Linked DNA regions of Tamandua tetradactyla. The protein of the gene in region 2 interacts with the protein of the main gene of each other region in a biochemical or structural test. Links are inferred from orthologs where the notes say so. Each region holds a gene or a part of one and is shown on either strand. Other genes may lie near its edges.

What was found.
Region 1: the proteins of AXL (region 2) and GAS6 form a complex in vitro, tested with the Homo sapiens proteins (2 studies listed by BioGRID and IntAct, with this or other methods). The link is inferred for Tamandua tetradactyla from reciprocal best matches to the Homo sapiens genes AXL and GAS6.

Annotation. Positions count from the first base shown.
Region 1 is NC_135343.1:75,407,467-75,416,186, reverse strand, and holds the start of GAS6 (growth arrest-specific protein 6), read right to left. Parts: upstream 3,440-8,720; coding exon 3,358-3,439; intron 3,005-3,357; coding exon 2,838-3,004; intron 1-2,837. UniProt on the Homo sapiens protein: Ligand for tyrosine-protein kinase receptors AXL, TYRO3 and MER whose signaling is implicated in cell growth and survival, cell adhesion and cell migration.
Region 2 is NC_135342.1:22,536,814-22,545,621, forward strand, and holds the start of AXL (tyrosine-protein kinase receptor UFO), read right to left. Parts: upstream 3,980-8,808; 5' UTR 3,656-3,979; coding exon 3,592-3,655; intron 3,426-3,591; exon of another isoform or gene 3,274-3,425; intron 2,644-3,273; coding exon 2,418-2,643; intron 2,103-2,417; coding exon 2,002-2,102; intron 1,574-2,001; coding exon 1,397-1,573; intron 1-1,396. UniProt on the Homo sapiens protein: Receptor tyrosine kinase that transduces signals from the extracellular matrix into the cytoplasm by binding growth factor GAS6 and which is thus regulating many physiological processes including cell survival, cell proliferation, migration and differentiation.

The DNA.
Region 1 (8,720 bases), on a different chromosome or scaffold from region 2:
AGTCTCCCCAGCTGGTCGGACAGAGCTCACAGGGCCCAGAACAAGCTCTTCCCTCCCTCTCCCTGAGGTTTTCCCGCTGCAACAGTCTGGGTTATTCTGTGAACTAAGTTCAGGGCACTCTATTCCACATCACTTCATCAGCCTCATTTCACAAAAAATGAGACTACGTGTCATAAGCAGGGAAATGTGAACTAGTATTTCTTAAGAGAGGCTGCAGACATTTTCAGAGCGCAGAAACTCTCACATGGGTAATTTTATAGCCGATCCCCCTTTAGAAAAGCGCTATCCAATACCGACTTTTCTTCACTAAGGTGCACTGGCAGCAAATTGTTTTAAGGATTTCCCAACGCCCTTCAGAAGTCGACCCCCTCCTGTGGTACTGGAAAGGATGAACTGAAGATCAAGGTTCTCTGGGAGGTGAGCCCCTGTCCTAAAAACCCATCAGAGCAGAGCTGAGATTAGAATTAGTTTGCCTAACACCTAACCCAGGGCTGTTTTGAAATGGGAGTTTCAAAGGTTAGAATTCTGGGAAAGTGCAGATAGCATTACTATGAAAAGGAGATTACAAACTTCTGATTGTGAAAAGAGGGCTTGCTCAAGGAGAAGTAGCAAAGGACCCAGGAAGTGAAAGACCCAGTATTAAAACAATTCGATTGTGCATTAAAAATAAAAGAAGCAAGAGGGAGCCAAAACGTCCACTTACAAGGAAACTGAAAACTCTAGCACAGATTTATACCAAAATAACAGTGATTGTAATAAAGTGATGGAATCATACTTTTTTCCTTTTGCTTGTCTTCCATTCACGTATTTTTGTAAAGTGCTTACATTGCATTTATAAATAATTATCCTTTAAACATAAAAGCAATTACAATCAGAGAAGGGACTGACACTCTGGGAAGAAACTGTGACCTGGAGGTCAGCCAGGAAGAGCCAGGGTAGGGTGTTTCAGTTCTGGGCGAGCAGGAGCTGCAGCAGGGCAGGACTCACGGAGATGGGCGGTGCACTCAGCTTCTGTCACCAGGAAGCCGCCTCCCAAAGAGGACAAGCGAGATTTTCTAGGTCAGGCCTGGGGGTTCGAAGCCATTGCCCCTGCCATATACTCTCCCAACTGGGCAGTGCCCCCAGGGTGACTGGGCACCCGTGGTTTGCCACTAGAACATCTAGGGATCTCCTACCAAGTGCCTGATGCACTGGAACAACTGCACTCATTGTTTAGAAAATAGGAAAAGGTGAGGCTAGGAAAACAAAAATTGCAACATAAATGTTGCCAGTGGGAGGCAGGACCAAACTCCTGTTGTTACTGATACTAAGGATGAAAAGAAGAAAATAATCATCTCCACCATAGCTCTGTTACAGGCATAATTAGATGTGCCAAGGAGAACTGCATTATGGTGTGTTTGCTCAATAGTTTTAAAGCTTGTTTTCAGAAATGGAGATCCAAAAGGGATTATAAAGTCAATGATTAAAAAGAGAAGTCAAAAGAAAAGCACACATTGGTTATAAAGAACCAGTCTTCTATTGCATGTGATGTTTAGTCCATCCAAAAGAATTCTTCTAAAAAAATTCCAGGACTACCAAAAACTTAGCTGTGGAATCACTATGACCTCACTTTCCAAGATCATTCCTACTTCCCCAAATCATTCACTTCCAAACAGATAAACATCTAGAGCTTCCAATGAGTCCTGTGGATCCTAAACCACAATCACTGCTCTTAAATAACCATCTCCTGAAACTCTGTCCCTTCCTTTACAATCACACAGCTCCTCCAGAGACACCTCTGCAGGCTCGCTGCCTCTCACAGCTGGTCAGCCTCCACGCCCCACACATTCTCCAAGGTCATTATTAATAGAAATATGTCCTGGGCCAGCACCTGTCAGGCTATGGTCCCGAATCAGCAGCTGCTTCTAAAAGAGCACCTTGTTAAAAGGGGCCCCAGCACACACCTGGTTTAGCCCTTCCTCACTTTCTCCCCGACATTCCCCCATTCCTACCACCCCCCAAATATACAGCACTATTTCTGTAATAATATTTTTGGATCTACTGCTGCAAAAAAATTCCACCCCTCAAATCTTTCAGTTCCTCTTTCAAGAAAACCTTCCATCTCTGCTTGATGAGGATTCAAGGGCTGGTTGGGCAGTTCCAGCCCAGAAATCTAATCCAGCAGAGAAGGAAGAGGGAGGCAGGAAGTTGCTGGGGTTTTTTTTAAACATTGTATTATTTCTTTTCCACTTTAAAAATCGGAGTCCTTATTTTACTCTGGTGGAGAAGCCTTATACTGGGCATATTTTCTGTAAAGTTGCTGCCTTCAGGCAACTGCAGTGTCTCCAACCGCCAGTACTTAAGGTCACTAGGAGAACAAGAATGGGGTCAAGCCATGGGTGGCTGAGTGGCAGAGTGCTTGCCTTCCATGCGGGAGACCCGGGTTCGATCCTGGGACCATACACGCCCCCCCAAAAAAGAGCACTGGGGGCCCAAAGCTGAAAGGAAATGAGGATGACCTTTCTACCCTTTTTTCCACACTAGGGATTCTCCCGCGGACTCTGGAAAGGACAATCTGAGTTGCTGGAGGAATTCCGGAGTCTCCCCCTCGGGGCATCCCCATAAACGAGGTGGGGCAAGGACAGCGCTCAAAATGCCCCAGCTCCCAGGCGCTCCACAATGCCCCTTCCCACCTCGGTTATGTGACAAGGTGTCAATTATTTGCCTAACGGTCCCTTCTCCAAACACCTTCGCCGCGCCGGCGGACGTTCGGGCCGGGGCTCCAGCGGCTGTCGACGGAAGCGCTCAAGCCGCGCACCCTCCTCCCCCCCGCGGCCCCGGGCCCGCCCGGCGCTCACCGTCTCGGGGTCGTTCTCGAACACCTCCCGCGCCTCCTCCTTGTTGCACAGCTCCTCTATGCACTCCCTCTCCAGGTGGCCCTGCTTGGCCTCCTCGAAGACCTGGTAGGCTCGGCGCTGCCTCGGCCGCAGGAACTGCGCCGCCTCGCGCGCCCGCAACAGCACCGCTGCCCCGCCACGCCGGGCCCGCGCGGCCGCCGAGGGGCCAGGGGAAGCGGGCGGGGAAGGAGCGGGGCCAGGGGCGAGGGCACGAGAGGGGAAGAGAAGAGGGAACACGGCCGTGAGGCCCGCACGCCCCGCTGCGGGCGCGGGCTCGGCGCCCTTGACCCGGGGATGCTGCGGCGGCGGGAGGTGCCCGGGGCGCGCCGCAGTCTCGGCGGCCACCTCGGCTGCGGCAGGGCGGGGCGGGGGCTGCGGGCAGGAGCGCCCGGCTTCCCGCGCCGGGGCAGAGGGGCCCGTGGGGAGGGGGCTCTGCCCCGGGTCCCCCCCGGGCCGCGGGAGCGCGCCGGGCGGTACTCACTGTGCGAGGACTCGGTGGCCAGCAGGAGCAGCAGCAGCGCGGTGCCCAGGGCGGCGGCGGGGCCGGGCTGCGGCGGCGGCATGGCGGGCGGGCGGGGGCCGGGGCCCGGGGCGGCGGCCGCGGGGGTCGGGGGAGAGCGGGGCGCCCGGCGGCGGCGGCGGCGCGGAGGAGCGGGGCGTGCGGGCCGAGAGCGCGCCTCGCGGTCAGAGCGCCCGGGAGGCCCCGGCGAGCCGCGGGCGCCGCGGGAGAGACGCTCCTCTCATCTTGTCCAATCGGTTCTGAAGTTCACATCCCGGCGGCCGCGCGGAAGCGCACCTAGGGCGCTGCTCGGCGTCTGTGCGCGGCGGGAGGCGCGGGGGGAGGCGGTGCCGGCGCGGGAGGGGCCGGGGGCGGCCGCGGGGCAGTCCCGACCTCCGCTGACGGCGCGCCGGGCACCGGGCGGGGGCCGCGCCGAGCTCCGCGAGCGCTTTGCAGAACCCCCGAGTTGTTTTCAGTCGGAAAGATCAAAAGGGTGAAGAGGGAGAAAAAAAACGAAACGCAATCAGGAACGTGGCGACTTCAACACAGGGCTTAGACTAGGGTATCCTAGGAGAAGGGGCTTCTCCCAAATCAATGACTGAGTTTATTCATGCTGCGATGAAAAAAAAAATTTGTTTTTTGATTTAAAAAAAGAGAAAAGCAATACCCAGATACAGCATAACCAGGTACGAATTCATTTTCTAGGTACAATTAAATCTCTTTCCCAACTTCTTTCCCCCTCCACCAAGTAAGCATCTATCACATTCTTTTCCAGTTTTCACAAGATTTAAAACCCACCGAAGAAAAGGTAAACTGAGGTCAAAATTAATCTCATCTGGGTTCAGGAAGCAAGATTAATTTATTTTCTTCCGTAATCTCTGTTTTCCATAATGATATTCAAAACCTTGAGATTTCCCAAGTAGATATGTAGCCGAAAGTAACATTGTGCTTGTCCTCAGCGACCGTGATTTTCCGTCTCTTTGTCACAAAGTTATAGGCAAAAAACCAAACAGAAAAACAGCCAACCACCTAAACCAAACCGGCGCAGACCGCTGGCAGCGAGCCCTGCAGCCCCCGCGTGGAGGAGGGGCGCGCTGGGGACCCTCCCGCCTCCGAGATCCCACGCACCCCACACGGCGCTGAAGATCCAGAGCGAGTCTTTCCCCACGCTGGTCGTTTTGCTCGTGGGTTCTACACCGAAATCCCGGGATCTCAGTTTCCTCTCGCCCCTCCGTGGCGGGCAGATGGAGCGCCATTGCTGGTAGGAGGTCGTTGGTGTCAAGATGGTGTTACCATATTAAATTCGGGAAGACGAATGTCCCTGACAACGATTTTCAAGGGAGAATTAAATTCTTAGTAGATAAGTTAGATTTGCCAGTGGGGGCTGGAAACGCACGCCGAGTGATGGGAGCTGCGCTGATTTCCCTATGCTGCTTCAGCCGGGCAAACACCCTGGCGTTTAAAGGAATTTTATTAATTTGCCTGTTTGGTGTTCTTAATGAGCATTACTGGCTTACAATCTGGGTGGGGGGATACATTCTTGAGTCGTTCATCAAAAGGCTCTTTAATCAGTTAGTTCATTAGTCCATCCATTCACAAGGTGAGTAGTTAATAGAGCCTGCGCTGTGTGCCGACTGCGGTCTAGAAACTTTCCCATACTGTATCCTACTTGTTCCAACCCAACAGCCGGTGCTTAGACTTCAGGGAGTCTGTAGACTCCCGGAAACTGTTTGCAATTATTTTTGGAAATTTTGTTTGTTTATTTTCGGAGGAGAGGGTTTGTAGAGTCTAGGCAGTCCTGAGAATGTTGACCCAAATGAAAGGGAGCATCACTGGATTCCACAGTTTCTTCTCGTTCTTGGGCCCATCGCTTCAGATGATCGGTGTTAGGCTGCTGAAGACTGTGAGATCCCCGGGCCTTGCTGACCTCCTTTAGCCTGGACCTCACCCACTTCCCCATATTCCTGATTCACCCCCTTTTATTGAGCTAGCATCCCAATAACAATAATACCTTCTATCATGTAGAGATTTGCTTTAATAAAATGCATTCGCATGCACTTGCTCATTTTGATTTTAATGACTGGGGAACTCAGAAGGCCAGTAGGGGGAGCAATGGAGGATGTCTGACCCAAGCTGACTCCCATTCTCCAACTTACTTACCAAGGCAGAAAATTTGTTCTAAGGCAGAAATGGAAAATGGACAATTTGGATAGTGTGTTCTAAAAATGGAAAGTGTTGTCAGGCACTGTATTATATACCCTGAAATAGAGTTGGTGAAATAGACAGTTCACCTCTGCAAGAGGCAGGAGGCTAGCCCCAGAGCAATGAATGTTTTATATGCACGGTTAACCAGTCTGTAGTCAGGAAGACCGAGAGCTCGCGGCTCTTCTTTCCAGGGATGACCTGGAGTGAGCTGGTGGAGATGGGATGGGAGTGAGGGTATAGGAAATGGCGTATCTGTAGAGAAATCAAAGTTCTGCATTCTCCTTTCTATCTCCTTTCATCTAAGGATGATGATTCCAAAGGAATAAGGCCATCCATTCATTTATTCACTTAATAAATGTGAGTTGGATAGCTGTTATTTTGTCCTGAGTCACTGTTCTGGGTGCTGAACAAGTTTTTTGTTTTGTTTTGTTTTTTGAAAAGCTTTACTGAGGTATAAGTGAGAAAAAATAAACTGAACAAATAAATTTTGACATCTGTGATCAAAGTCTACATCTGTGAAACCATTGCCACAATCAAGTTAGGCATATCCATTATCCAGAAGATGTTTTCTCGTGCCCCTTGTCTGCTGGAATTTTGAAAGGGATTGCATAGAATCTGTAGATCACTTTGGTAGTGTTGGTATCTTAATATTAAGCCTTCCAAGCCATGAACATAACTCCTTGTCATTTATTTAGATTTTTAGTTTCTTTCAGTAAGATTTTATAGTTTTCTGTATATAAATTTCACGTCCATAGTTAAATTTATTCCTAGATATTGTACTCTTCTAGTTATTATTGTAAATGAAATTGTTTTCTTAATTTCCTCTTTGTATTGTTCCGTCACGAATGTATAGAAACACAATGGATTTTTGTTTGTTGATCTTGTACCCTGTCATTTTGTTGAATTTGTTTACAGTTCTGGTAGTTTTCTTGTGTATTTGTTTGGGTTTTCATTATGTAACAGGATGTTGTCTGCAAATAGAGATAGTTTACATCTTCCTTTCCAATCTGGATGACTTTAATTTCTTTTCTTTCTTAATTGCTCAAACTAGAACATCTGGTACAATTTTGAATAGCAGCAGTGAAAGTGGACATTCTTGTCTTATTCCTAATGTTAGGAGAAAGCTTTCAGTCTTTCACCATTGAGTATGACCTTAGCTATGGGCTTCTCATAACTGACATTTATCATGTTGAGAAAGTTGGGTGTTTTTATTAAGAAAGTTGCTGGATTTTGCCAAATGCCTTTTCTGTGTCTATTGAGAGAATCATGTGGGATTTTTTTTCCTTTGTTCTTCGTTTCTTGCAGCAGATTTTTGCTTAAATTCTGTTTTGTCTCATCTTAGGATCAGACAGCTCTCTTTTGGCTACTGTTTCCAAGGAATATTTTTTCTCATCCGTTCACTTTTGACAGGCTTGTCTTTGAAATAAGATGAATCCCTTGTATATAGCATATTATTGGATCATGCTTCTTTATCCATTCTGCCAAATTTGCATTTTGATTGGTGAGTATAATCCACTTACATTTAAGGTAATTATAGATAAGGGAAGACTTACTTCCGCCATTCTGTTAATTATGTTTATTTTGTATTATACTTTTTTGTCCTTCCTTTCTATTATTGTTTAGATGACCTCCTGTAATGAACCATTTTGAATCACTTCTCGTTTCCCTTTGTAGAAATATTTTAAATTTATTTATTTATTTATTTATTTATTTATTTTCCCAAAACCAAGGCTAATGCTTGTGCTGGGCCCTTAGAGATCTCCCAGACTGAAACACGCACACACACACAGAGACAGAGAGAAAGAAAGAAAACAAACCCAAAAAGTGTTAAAAGGCACACTGGTTTTTTATGTCCCAGTGGATGCTAATGGGAGGTCAGAAGCCATTGCTACCAAGAAGCCAAAACCAAGGCTAATGCCTGCCCTGTCTCCCAGACATCCACCAGATAAAAAAAAAAAAAAAAAAAAACACTAGAAAAAGAAAGAAAGATAACCAACCACTTAAAAGGTGCATTGGCTCTTTATGTCCCAGTAGAGCTGGTATGAGGCCAGAAGCCGCCCCTGCTGAGAGAGCCAAAACTGAGGCCAGCATCCTTGCTGGACCTTTAGGAATCTTGGAAGACAAGGTTTCTTCTGCCCTGGCCCCACCCAGCCACACGCAGGATCTAGGTCACCGTTTCCACCGGCGTGGCTCAGGGCATGGGAATAGGGTGGTCCCTTTGTCTGGCACTCCTGTGGTCGTTCTGAACGTCCAGTCTGGTTCCAGGGTTGCCACCTAGTTCATCCAGTCTCTGTTTACAGCTCTTTCATTTTACTGATGGCAAAACAATCTGTACAACTTCCTACTTCACCTTTTTACTTCTGTGCTCCTCCTGTAACACCTACTATTTTTTATTGAGTAACCTTTGGTTTTGCATCTGTTAAGGGATTTGTGTGATTCATTGGCTTAAAGTTCTTCAGAATATTCCCTTAACACCCTTTAAATATCTGACACCTCTCTCACTCCTGGTGTCGATTATTTTGTCTTTTCTCATTTTGGCTAATCAGTCTGGCTAGAGATTTAACAATTTAATTGATCTCAAATAACTAGTTTTTGGTTTTGTTGATCTATTTTTCTTCTATTTTTATCGTTATCCAATCTAATCTTTATCATTTCCTTTCTTCTGCTTACATTGGATTTCTTTTGCTCTGCTTTATCTAGTTTCTGGAGGCTGATGTCACTGATTTGAGACTTTCTTTTCTAATATAGTAGTTTAGTGCTATGAATTTCCCTTAAAGTAATACTTTAGTTGCACCCCACACATTTGGAATCCCATATCTGAGTTGGTCAGTTTCATTCAGCTCAAAATTCTTTCTAATTTTTCTTTTAGTATTTTCTTTGACTTATTGGTTATTGCGAAATGCCTTAGTTTCTAACAATTTGGAAAGTTTCCAGATGACTTGCTGTTGTTTATTTGTAATGTATTTTATTGTAGAAAGAGAATATACAGTGCATGACTTGAATCTTTTCACATTTATTGAGATTTGTTTTATGACCCAGAATATGGTCTTTCTTGGTAAATATTCCTCATGCTCTCTATAAAAATGTATATCCTGCTGTTATAGGTGGAATGTTTTATAACTGTCAATCAAATAAAGTGG
Region 2 (8,808 bases):
CACACACAGTCCCTGGGAAACTTACAGGGATATACCATAAAAACCCAGACACACAGTGGGACAGACACACAAGCGGACAGAAACATACTTAGACACATGTCCCCCCCACCCCATACACACACTGGGGCATCCAGAGAAGCTGGCCCTCGCTAAGGCATGTCCCCATTCGAAGAGGATGACGCTGACAGAAGCGCTGACACACAGATCCAGGGAGACGGGGACACACCCCCACACTGAGACACACGCACACAGACCCGCTTGACCTCTCCTCCACACGTACTGATCCACACACAGAGGCTCTCACACCTGGGCCTCACCACTCCCCCATTTCTCCTTTTTCCTTGGAAGGGAGTTGGGGGTGGATGGTTACCCCTCCCCCATCCTGGGGGTCCTGCCAGGCTGACTCAGACCCCATCCCTGTCCCCACCCGGCCATTCGAGCCACAGGCCTGAGTCACCCCTCTGGGGGCCGACGTGCTCACCGCTTCCTAACACACTCACGGCCCCCGGAATGCTGGGAATCTGGGCACCTCCCTGCACCCGGGAAGACCCTCAGCCTCCCCATTCCTCCCCACCCCAGCAGACAGAGGCAGCAGGTTGGGGTGCAGGGAGCGATAACCCTCAGGCCTCCCCATTCGTGCACCTCTATCCCATCCCACCTCCCTCGAGGACAGGACACCCACCATGGCCCCCGGCTCTGCCTCTGACCACCGTGTGACCCCAAGCTAGGTCCTGCCCCACTGGGTGGTCACTTGAGGCTGGGGGGTGGGGTTCTCCAATCACTTAGACTTTCCTTGTCCTGCCTCCTTCTTCTTGGACCACCTCTGGGTCCGTCTGTCTTTCCCTCTCTGTAACTGTTTTTCTCTGTCTCCCCATTCGTCCCTCCCTCTCTGTTTTGGGCTCTGTGTCCCTGGGGGCCCTGGGCTGGTCTTGAGAGGTCTTGAGGTGGGAGGAGGGCAGGTGGGGGCGGGGCGGAGAGGAGACCCCGGTGGTTCCGGGGTCCAGGTTGGGGTCAGGGGCTGACAGAGGGCACCAGGCCCACACACGGCTCAGAGGACATCCGGGACAAAGAAGTCTATTCACAGAGAGGCTGGGCTGAATGGAGGAAGAACGAGCAGAGAAACACACAGAGATGAGCGAGACACCCAGAAACAGTGAGAAAGAAATGGAAAGATGGGGACGGAGATGGGTGGCAGAGAGACAGAAACAGAGAGAGATATACGGACAGAAACAAGGAGGCAGATGGGGACAGGGATGCAGAGACAGCGACAGAGACAAAGAGATACAGAAACAGAGACAGAGATACACAGAGCAGGCAAGAGGGCCCGGCAGACACGCAGAGGCAGTGAACCATGTCTGCACCGCCCCCTTCCCTGGCTGGGCCGGGCCGGGCTCACCTGCGACTTGCAGAGTTTGGTGGGGGCCTTGGTGCGAGGCCCAGGCCACGGGAGCAGCGTCCTGCAGCCAGAGTAGGTCCACGGGCTCTGGGGGTCCCTGGGCCCGGCAGGTCAGGTTAAAGGGGGTGTCGGCAGCCACAGCCCTGTCCTCAGGCTCCTCCAGGAAGTAAGGCAGGCCTGGGGGGCGGGGATGGCAGGCAGGGGTCCAAGCTGAGGTCTCTGAGCACCGCCCCCCCAGGTGTCTATGTTGGAGGCTTCAGGACTGTCCCCATCTGACACACTCCCTGCCAAAGACCCTGCCTCACCCTCAGATGTCTGACACCCTGCCCCCCAGGTGTCTTTCCAACCCTTAGGACATAAGGTCCCAATGTCTGACCCCTCCCCTTAACCTCTGACCCCCCAAATCTCTCCTCCAGAATGCCTGACTCATCCTCACCTCCTTATCTGAGTCTACAGAATGTCTTGCTCCCACCATGTCTGGCCCGGCAGGCAGACCTATCATCCCTGTCCCCTCCCCTGGCCAGAATTTATGGCCCCCCAGCTTCCCGATCCCTTAAAATCGCTGACAGTCCTAGGCTAGATGCGCCCGGACCCCCAGGGCTCACCCTCCAGCCCCACATAGCCAGGCCGGGACAGGAAGGCCCCTCCTTCCAGGACCACCATACACTGGTATCGCCCAGCATCCGACAGCTGCAGGGACAAGATCCTGGTGGGGCAAGACGGGGGCAGAGAGGTGCAGGGTCAGAGCTGGGCACTGGGAGGGGCTGGTCAGAACCGGAAGAGGGGCCTCTGGACTGGGAAGCGGAAAGAACCGTGGAGGAGGTTCTATTATTATCCCATTTTACAGAAGAAGAAAGTGAAACCCAGAGGTTCTGTGACACACTTCATGCCCCACAGCTAGGAAGTGGTCAGGCTGGGATTCCAACCCAGGTGGCCGGGCTGCAGGCGGGCTGTGATAGGGGTAGGGGTCGGGGACGACAGGGACCAGGAGGGGTGCAGGGGCCGGGAAGAAACTGGACACCTGAGTTGGCTGACCACCTTCCAGTCGTCCTCGCCGTCCTCACCCAGGGGCACCTGGATCTGGGTGCTCTCCGCCAGCTCCAGGATCTGTCCGTCCTGAAGCCAGTTCACCTCGGGGGGCTCCTGGTGAACGTGGAGCTCACACTGCAGCGTCCCCGTCAGGCCCCGGGCCCCCGTGATGTTTCCTGGGCTCCTCACAAAGGGATCCGCTGCAGCAGCCTGTGCACCTGCAGGGTGGATGGGACAGGTTGGCTGAAAGGCCCCCACTTCCCTCTGCACCCCTTCCTGCCCCCCCCCCCGCTGCCCACCCACTGCCAGGACACCCCCCCCCCAAGCCCTCAGGCCCACATAGTTGTAGGGTGACCTCAGAGGCCAGTGGAGGGTGGAGGCTCTGGGGGCAGGATGGGCGCCTTCCTAGGCACTGGGGTCCGTTCAGAAGGAAGCGGGGTCTGGTAGCCCCCACAGCCTGGAGGCCCAGCAGGGCCAGCCCTGCCCTCACTTGGGGTCTCCGGAGACCAAACAGCTCAGGCTTCGTGGATGGAGGGGAAGAAAAGGGCAGGGGAGGGAGAAGAAACATAAGAGAGACAGAGAGAGAAGCCCGAGAAAGCCAGGCACGGGGTACCGAGACAGAAAGAGAGACTTTCCTGAGAGTGAAGGGAAAAGAGGAGAAATACACAGAGGGGGACTGCAACAGAAGAGAGACACACACACAGAGAAATCGAGGCAGAGAGAGACTCAGAGATGAATAGGGAGAGAGAAAGAGCCAGAGAGATAGGGCTCCTTTCTGGAAGATTCCTTCGGGTGCTCCCCAGCTCAGCCCCTCTTCCCAGGACCCCAGACTCAAATGCAGCCCCCACCAGCTCCCTCAGCTTTCGCCTTGTCCTCCCCTACTCCTTTCTGTCCGTGTCCTCCTCCTTCAGTTTTTGTTTCTTGTCCATGTTCCTCTCTTGAGTCTCTTCCTCCCCCTCTCTCTTGGTTTGTCTCGAGTCTCTGTCCTTCCCTGCCTCCCTCTCACAGTCCGTTTCTCTCGTCCGAAGGAAACACTCTGAGCCAGCCCAGGAATCGCCCCCAACACCTGCCATCCACCCCCCTCTCACCGCTCCTGCCCCCCATCCCCCATGCCCCCCCCCCCCCCCGCCACCGGTGGTCCTGCCCCACCGGCCCCCACCACTCACCCCTGGGGGCCGCGCACCCCCAGCACCAGAGCGCCAAGCACCAGGCCAGAGGGACCCTGCCCATCCTCGGGCCACCGCAAAACCGATGCCGAACTTTCCTCAGAAGTTGCTGGGCACCCCGCGGGGGAGGGGGCAGGGACAGGCAGTCCCCGGCCCTCCCCCCAGCTCCCGGGGTCTGGCACTGGCCGCCTGGCACGGTGGGGGCCCTCGGCCGGCTCTGCTCCGGCGCCTTCCAGGCTCTCCTGCCTCCTTCTCTTGCTCCCAGACTTCGGGAAACCCTTTCCCCGCCCCTGGCTCCCTCCTCCCCCTGCCTCCGCCCACTGCTCAAGCCCAGGGGGCCAGCTGGTCAGTGAGGGGTTAAGGCGGAGAGGAGGGGTCCAGCCCGGTCTTAAAGGGGCCCTGGGGGGAAGCTGAGGAGGGGGAAAGAGTCCCTTGTGGCTGCGCCTCTCATCCTGGAGCGGTGAGGCAGGGAGGCTGTGTGTCTCCGTGTCCCAGCTCTGGGCGCTGTCCCTCTGGGCTCTCTCTGTGTCTGGTAAACATTCCTCCACGACTCCCCTCCCCCAGCTGTCCCCCACCCAGCCCAGCCACAGCCAGGCCTCCCCAGGCCCTTCACTCCCCCTCACACTCAGAGCTCCTGGGACAAGGACACATACGCACGCTCAGACACGGACCTGCAGAGGCTGGGACAGGCAGAGACACGCAGGGGACCCAGGACTCGCAGGGGCACGCTGTCCGCCCACAGGCACGCTCAGGAGAGCCGGGTGAGGGACTCAGCTCCCGGAGAAACCTCTGCAGCGGGGACACCTGGGACCTATGGACCCTCAGACACATAAGGTGCAGACATGCATACGCACACGTGCACACACGTACACACACACACACAGTCAGACATACCAGAAGACAGGCATGCTCCCAGGTCGGCGAGCATTCGAGTCAAAGGCGTGGGAAAAACACCCAGACACACATATAGGCAGAGAGCCTAGAAACATCGACAGGGACAGGCAGATGTGGAGGGAAATGGAGTCACAGGTGTACCTGGAAATACTGATCCACGGACATGGGGAAACTTGAGTGTGTTCAGCTACACAGAAACGCTCACAGACATGCCCGGGACCATTCCTGCAAGGAAGCCAGAGTGGTGTGCAGGTAGCAACAGCAGCTCCTGGTGTAAGCCCACCCCCCAGCCCTGGGCCCTGTACCTTCCCCGACAAGCCCCCTCCTGCCAACAGGCCCTGACCCCATGAACTGTCTGTTCCAGGGAAACAGAGGGACTGGACTGGTGGCTCCTTGGCTCCATCTCCACCCCCTCAGTGCTGGGCCTCCCCAGAAGTGTGATGGAGCAGACAGAACCCCAGACAGGGAGATGGAGTGGGAGTGGGAGTGGGGTGGTCAGGCTCCTGGATTTGCTATGCGGCATTGGACTTGGATTACAACAGCAATGTGGGCTCCGTGGGGCGATGTCTGGGTCTTCTCTGGGCCCTTCCCTGAGGACACCTTGGTGCCCTGTGGTCGGCATAAGACCAGGCCGGTGTAGGCGGGTGAAACCCCTGGGGCAGTCTAGCCTGCTGGGTAAGATCTGAGCCTTGGCATCCCCCAGACATCGGGGTTGGAACCCCAGCTCTATCATTAACCACCAGTGACCTTGGGCAAGTGACTGCTCCCCGGGCCTCGGTTAGTCCATCTGTAAAATGGGAGCAAGCAGAGAACCCCCCCTCAGCAGGCTGGAAGGGCAGGCAGATAACCTAGCCAAGGCACCCATTGTCCTTAGCAAGTGGGACTGGCACTGACAAGGCACCGGTGGCTCTCTTGGCAGCTCAGCTCTGTGCTCTGGGGTTGCAGGCTGGCCTAGCGGGATTGTGTCCCAGAGGCGCAGAGCCGGCGCCTCTGTGTGTCATCTGTGTCCCTAGGTTTTGCATACAGTGGTCTGCGGGAGAGTGGGCTGGGAGCAATTTCTCTGCTCCCGGCCTCTACTGCACACCTCAAAGTCCTACCTATTTCACCCCCATTTCACCTCCAATGCCTTCCACCCCACAGGGTCCAGCCCCAGCCTCTCCCACCCGGGCCCCTGCCCTGTCCTCCCCTCTTGCTCCCTCCACCCTGCTTCCCGCCCACCCCGCAGGCAGAGGGCTGTTTCTGAAATACAAGACTGGGTCTCCTGCTTAACCTTGGCCTCCCTCACTGCCTGCGAGGTGAGCTCCCAGCTACTAGGCAGGTCCAGCCTCGCTGAGCTGTCTCATTTATGTCCCATTTCAGCTTCTGTCTTAACTTCCAAGGCTGACCCTTCAGGGCAGGCCCCACCCTGCAGTCAGTTCTCAAGTCCTAGGGTCAGCCTCACAAACCTCTCCCCATCCCTTTACCCCTTCCCAATCCCTTCCTGCTGGGGTCCTGCCCTCCGGGCTGCCCCTCTCTCTCCAGCCCATCTCCCAACCGGGCCGTGTTTTTTCAATCCCCAGTGAAACCCTTTCCCCCTCTTGCCCAGCCTTCCACGACAACCCCCCAAACTCTTTATTGAGGCCTTTTTTAAAGTCCCCTTATCTCCACTGGACACTCCCTCCCCCCTCCCCAGGCTTCTTTCACTTCCTGACCCAAACAGCCTCCTCCCAGGCCCCAGAGCCTCCCCAGCCAGCTCCTCAGCCCTCTCTGGAGTGGCTGCCTGCCCCCCACCCCCAAGTCTAATCTAGGTCCCATGTTGCTCACTCTTACGCCCTGTCCTTTTCTTTGGCAACACTGCATGGGCTATCATGACGTATTTATTGGTGTGATTATGTGTCTCATGTCTGTCTCCTCCTGCTGGTCTCTGGGATGCTACGAGGGCAGGGATTGGGTATCTTCATCCCCACCACCCTTTAGAAGGGCTGCCATAAATGAATAATTGTGGCATTTTTGGAGGGGCAGGGGGAGTTGCAAATATGTTCAAAAGTCTCTCTTCACTTGTGTGAATCTGCTGGGGATTCCATATTCTAGGGGGAAGAGAGACGACAATCATAAATATTCATCAGGGGGGTGAGATGGGCAGTGAAGAAAAATAAAGCAGGGGGAGGATGGGGAAGGGTAGGTGTGCCATTTTAGAGAGGGCAGTAGACTGAGATCTAAAGTAGATTAGGAAATGAACCATGTGGGGGAAGAGTGTTTCAGGCAGAAGGAACAGCCAATGCAAAGGCTCAGAGGCAGGAGCTGCAGGAAGACAACTGTGGCCTGAGCAGATGAATTGGGGGGGGGGGTGGAAGAGGAAGGAGGTGAGATCAGAGACCAATCCTGTTGTTCAGTGTCTTGGCCTGGCGTGGACTTGGGCTTTTATTCTAACTTGATGGGAGCCACGGGGAGGTGGGGGGACAGTGGGGGAGCAGGGGAGAGAACAGGTTTGATTCATATTTTTAAAGGATTCCTCTACTTAGGCTAGAAAGTGAAAGGTTGATGAGGAAGTTCCTCACGGAGAGATTAGGAACTGGACCATCAAACTTCAGCATCCCAAACTATGGGACCACCAGTGATTGTGATGTGACACAACAAGGGATCTGGCATCTTTTGGGCAATTCCCAGTTCACAGGAGGTCCTGGAGTGAAGGACACTTTAAACAGCACCATAAAGATGCTGTCAGCCAAATCCAGAATATGAGAACGTGTACACAACAAAAGACTGATTTCCGCCGTCCCCCACCGAGAAATAACATAAAAAAGGTTGGAGGAGGGGAAAAAAGAAGATAAAATCGAAATAAAAAAGGGTGAGGAACTAATTTAAAAACCCAAAGTGACGTTTCAAACGAGAGCTCTGTGTGGTGGGCCTTTCTTTGCATCCTTATTTGAGCAAGTCAACTCTAAACTACATTTATGAGGCCAGTGAGAACATTATATTTGTATTTGATATTACAGAATTGACAGCTGTGATTGGCATGACCACAGGATGTAGTTTTGATTTTTAAAGTCAACCTTGGCTAATGATAAATGCATTATCCAAGTATTAGGGGAAGGGGCACTGATGTCTGTAGTTCCCTTCAAAAAGCATGAAAGAGCTGAGATAGACGGTCAGGTGGCTAGAAATGTGAGAAAGCAATGTAGCAAAATGCTGGTGGGAGAACCTGGGAAATGGCACATGGGCATTCCCCGTAAAGTCCTTCTATTTTTCTTTCTCTGTGTTTGAAAATGTTCATAATACAATATTGGGGGCAGAATGTTCTTAGCGGTTAGAGCTGCATATTGATTATTTTCTGGGAGGTGCTTGAAAATAATCTTAAACAATGTGATAGGTGAAATCAAGGGACAGATGAAATAAAAATAGCAAGAAGTTGATGAGTTTTAATGGGGGAGGGTGATGGGGACAGGAGGGTCATCGGGCCGTTCTCTCTCCTTGGGGTGTGTTTAAAAACTGCCATGCTCTATAGCAAATAAAAAGACGCCTCTGGTTTCCCGGACAAGAGAAGACAGAAAAAAAGGGCGGTGGGAGAAGCACGCAGAGGGGCTGTAAGTCTCTGCTTTCGGACTCGGGGAGTTCCCAGGGCGTGGGCTGGCTTTTCCCAGGCCTGCAGCCCAGCTTGGGTGAGGCTGGAGCCCTTCTCCCTGCACCCCCTTCCCCGCCCGGGCCCAGCCCTCCCCCTCCTTGGCCCCCACACCGGGCTCCACATCTGGTGCTGATGTCAACAGCCAGGGTGGGTGGGGACCATGTTTTTCGGCTCCAGCCCGGCCTCGGGGGAGGGGACTGGGAGGGGTTTCAGACACGGCCACAAATCCACACGCGTCACAAACCCACACGCAGGCCAGAAACCCTTTTATTGCAACGGGAGGACCTTCAAGTCACAGAGGGGCCAGGCCCAGCCTCTCCCTCAGCCCCCCTGAGCCCCTTCCGCTGGGTCTAGCTGGGACTTGGACTCTGGGGCTTGTCTGGGAGAAGAGGCTTTGTGGGGGGCGGCCCTGAAGGCCCCTGTGTGACCCAAATCCCCTGGATCCCAGCGCCCGGCAAGCACAGCTGCAGACCGGGCACGTGTTTGTGTTTGGGAGACTCTGGGACAGTGGAGAGTTGGGGGAGCAGGGCTTGAGGGCTGAGGGTGGGACGGAGTGGGTGGTGACTCTCCGTGGGAGGAAAATACTCGGGGGAGGGGCTACCACTACCACGGCGCCCCACGTCCACTGTCCTGTCCGTGTGACTCAATGGCTGGGGAGTGTGGCGGGTCGTGCCTGGAGAGGGGGCGGCGCAGGAAGGGAGCGGGCATTAGGGCCGTGGACA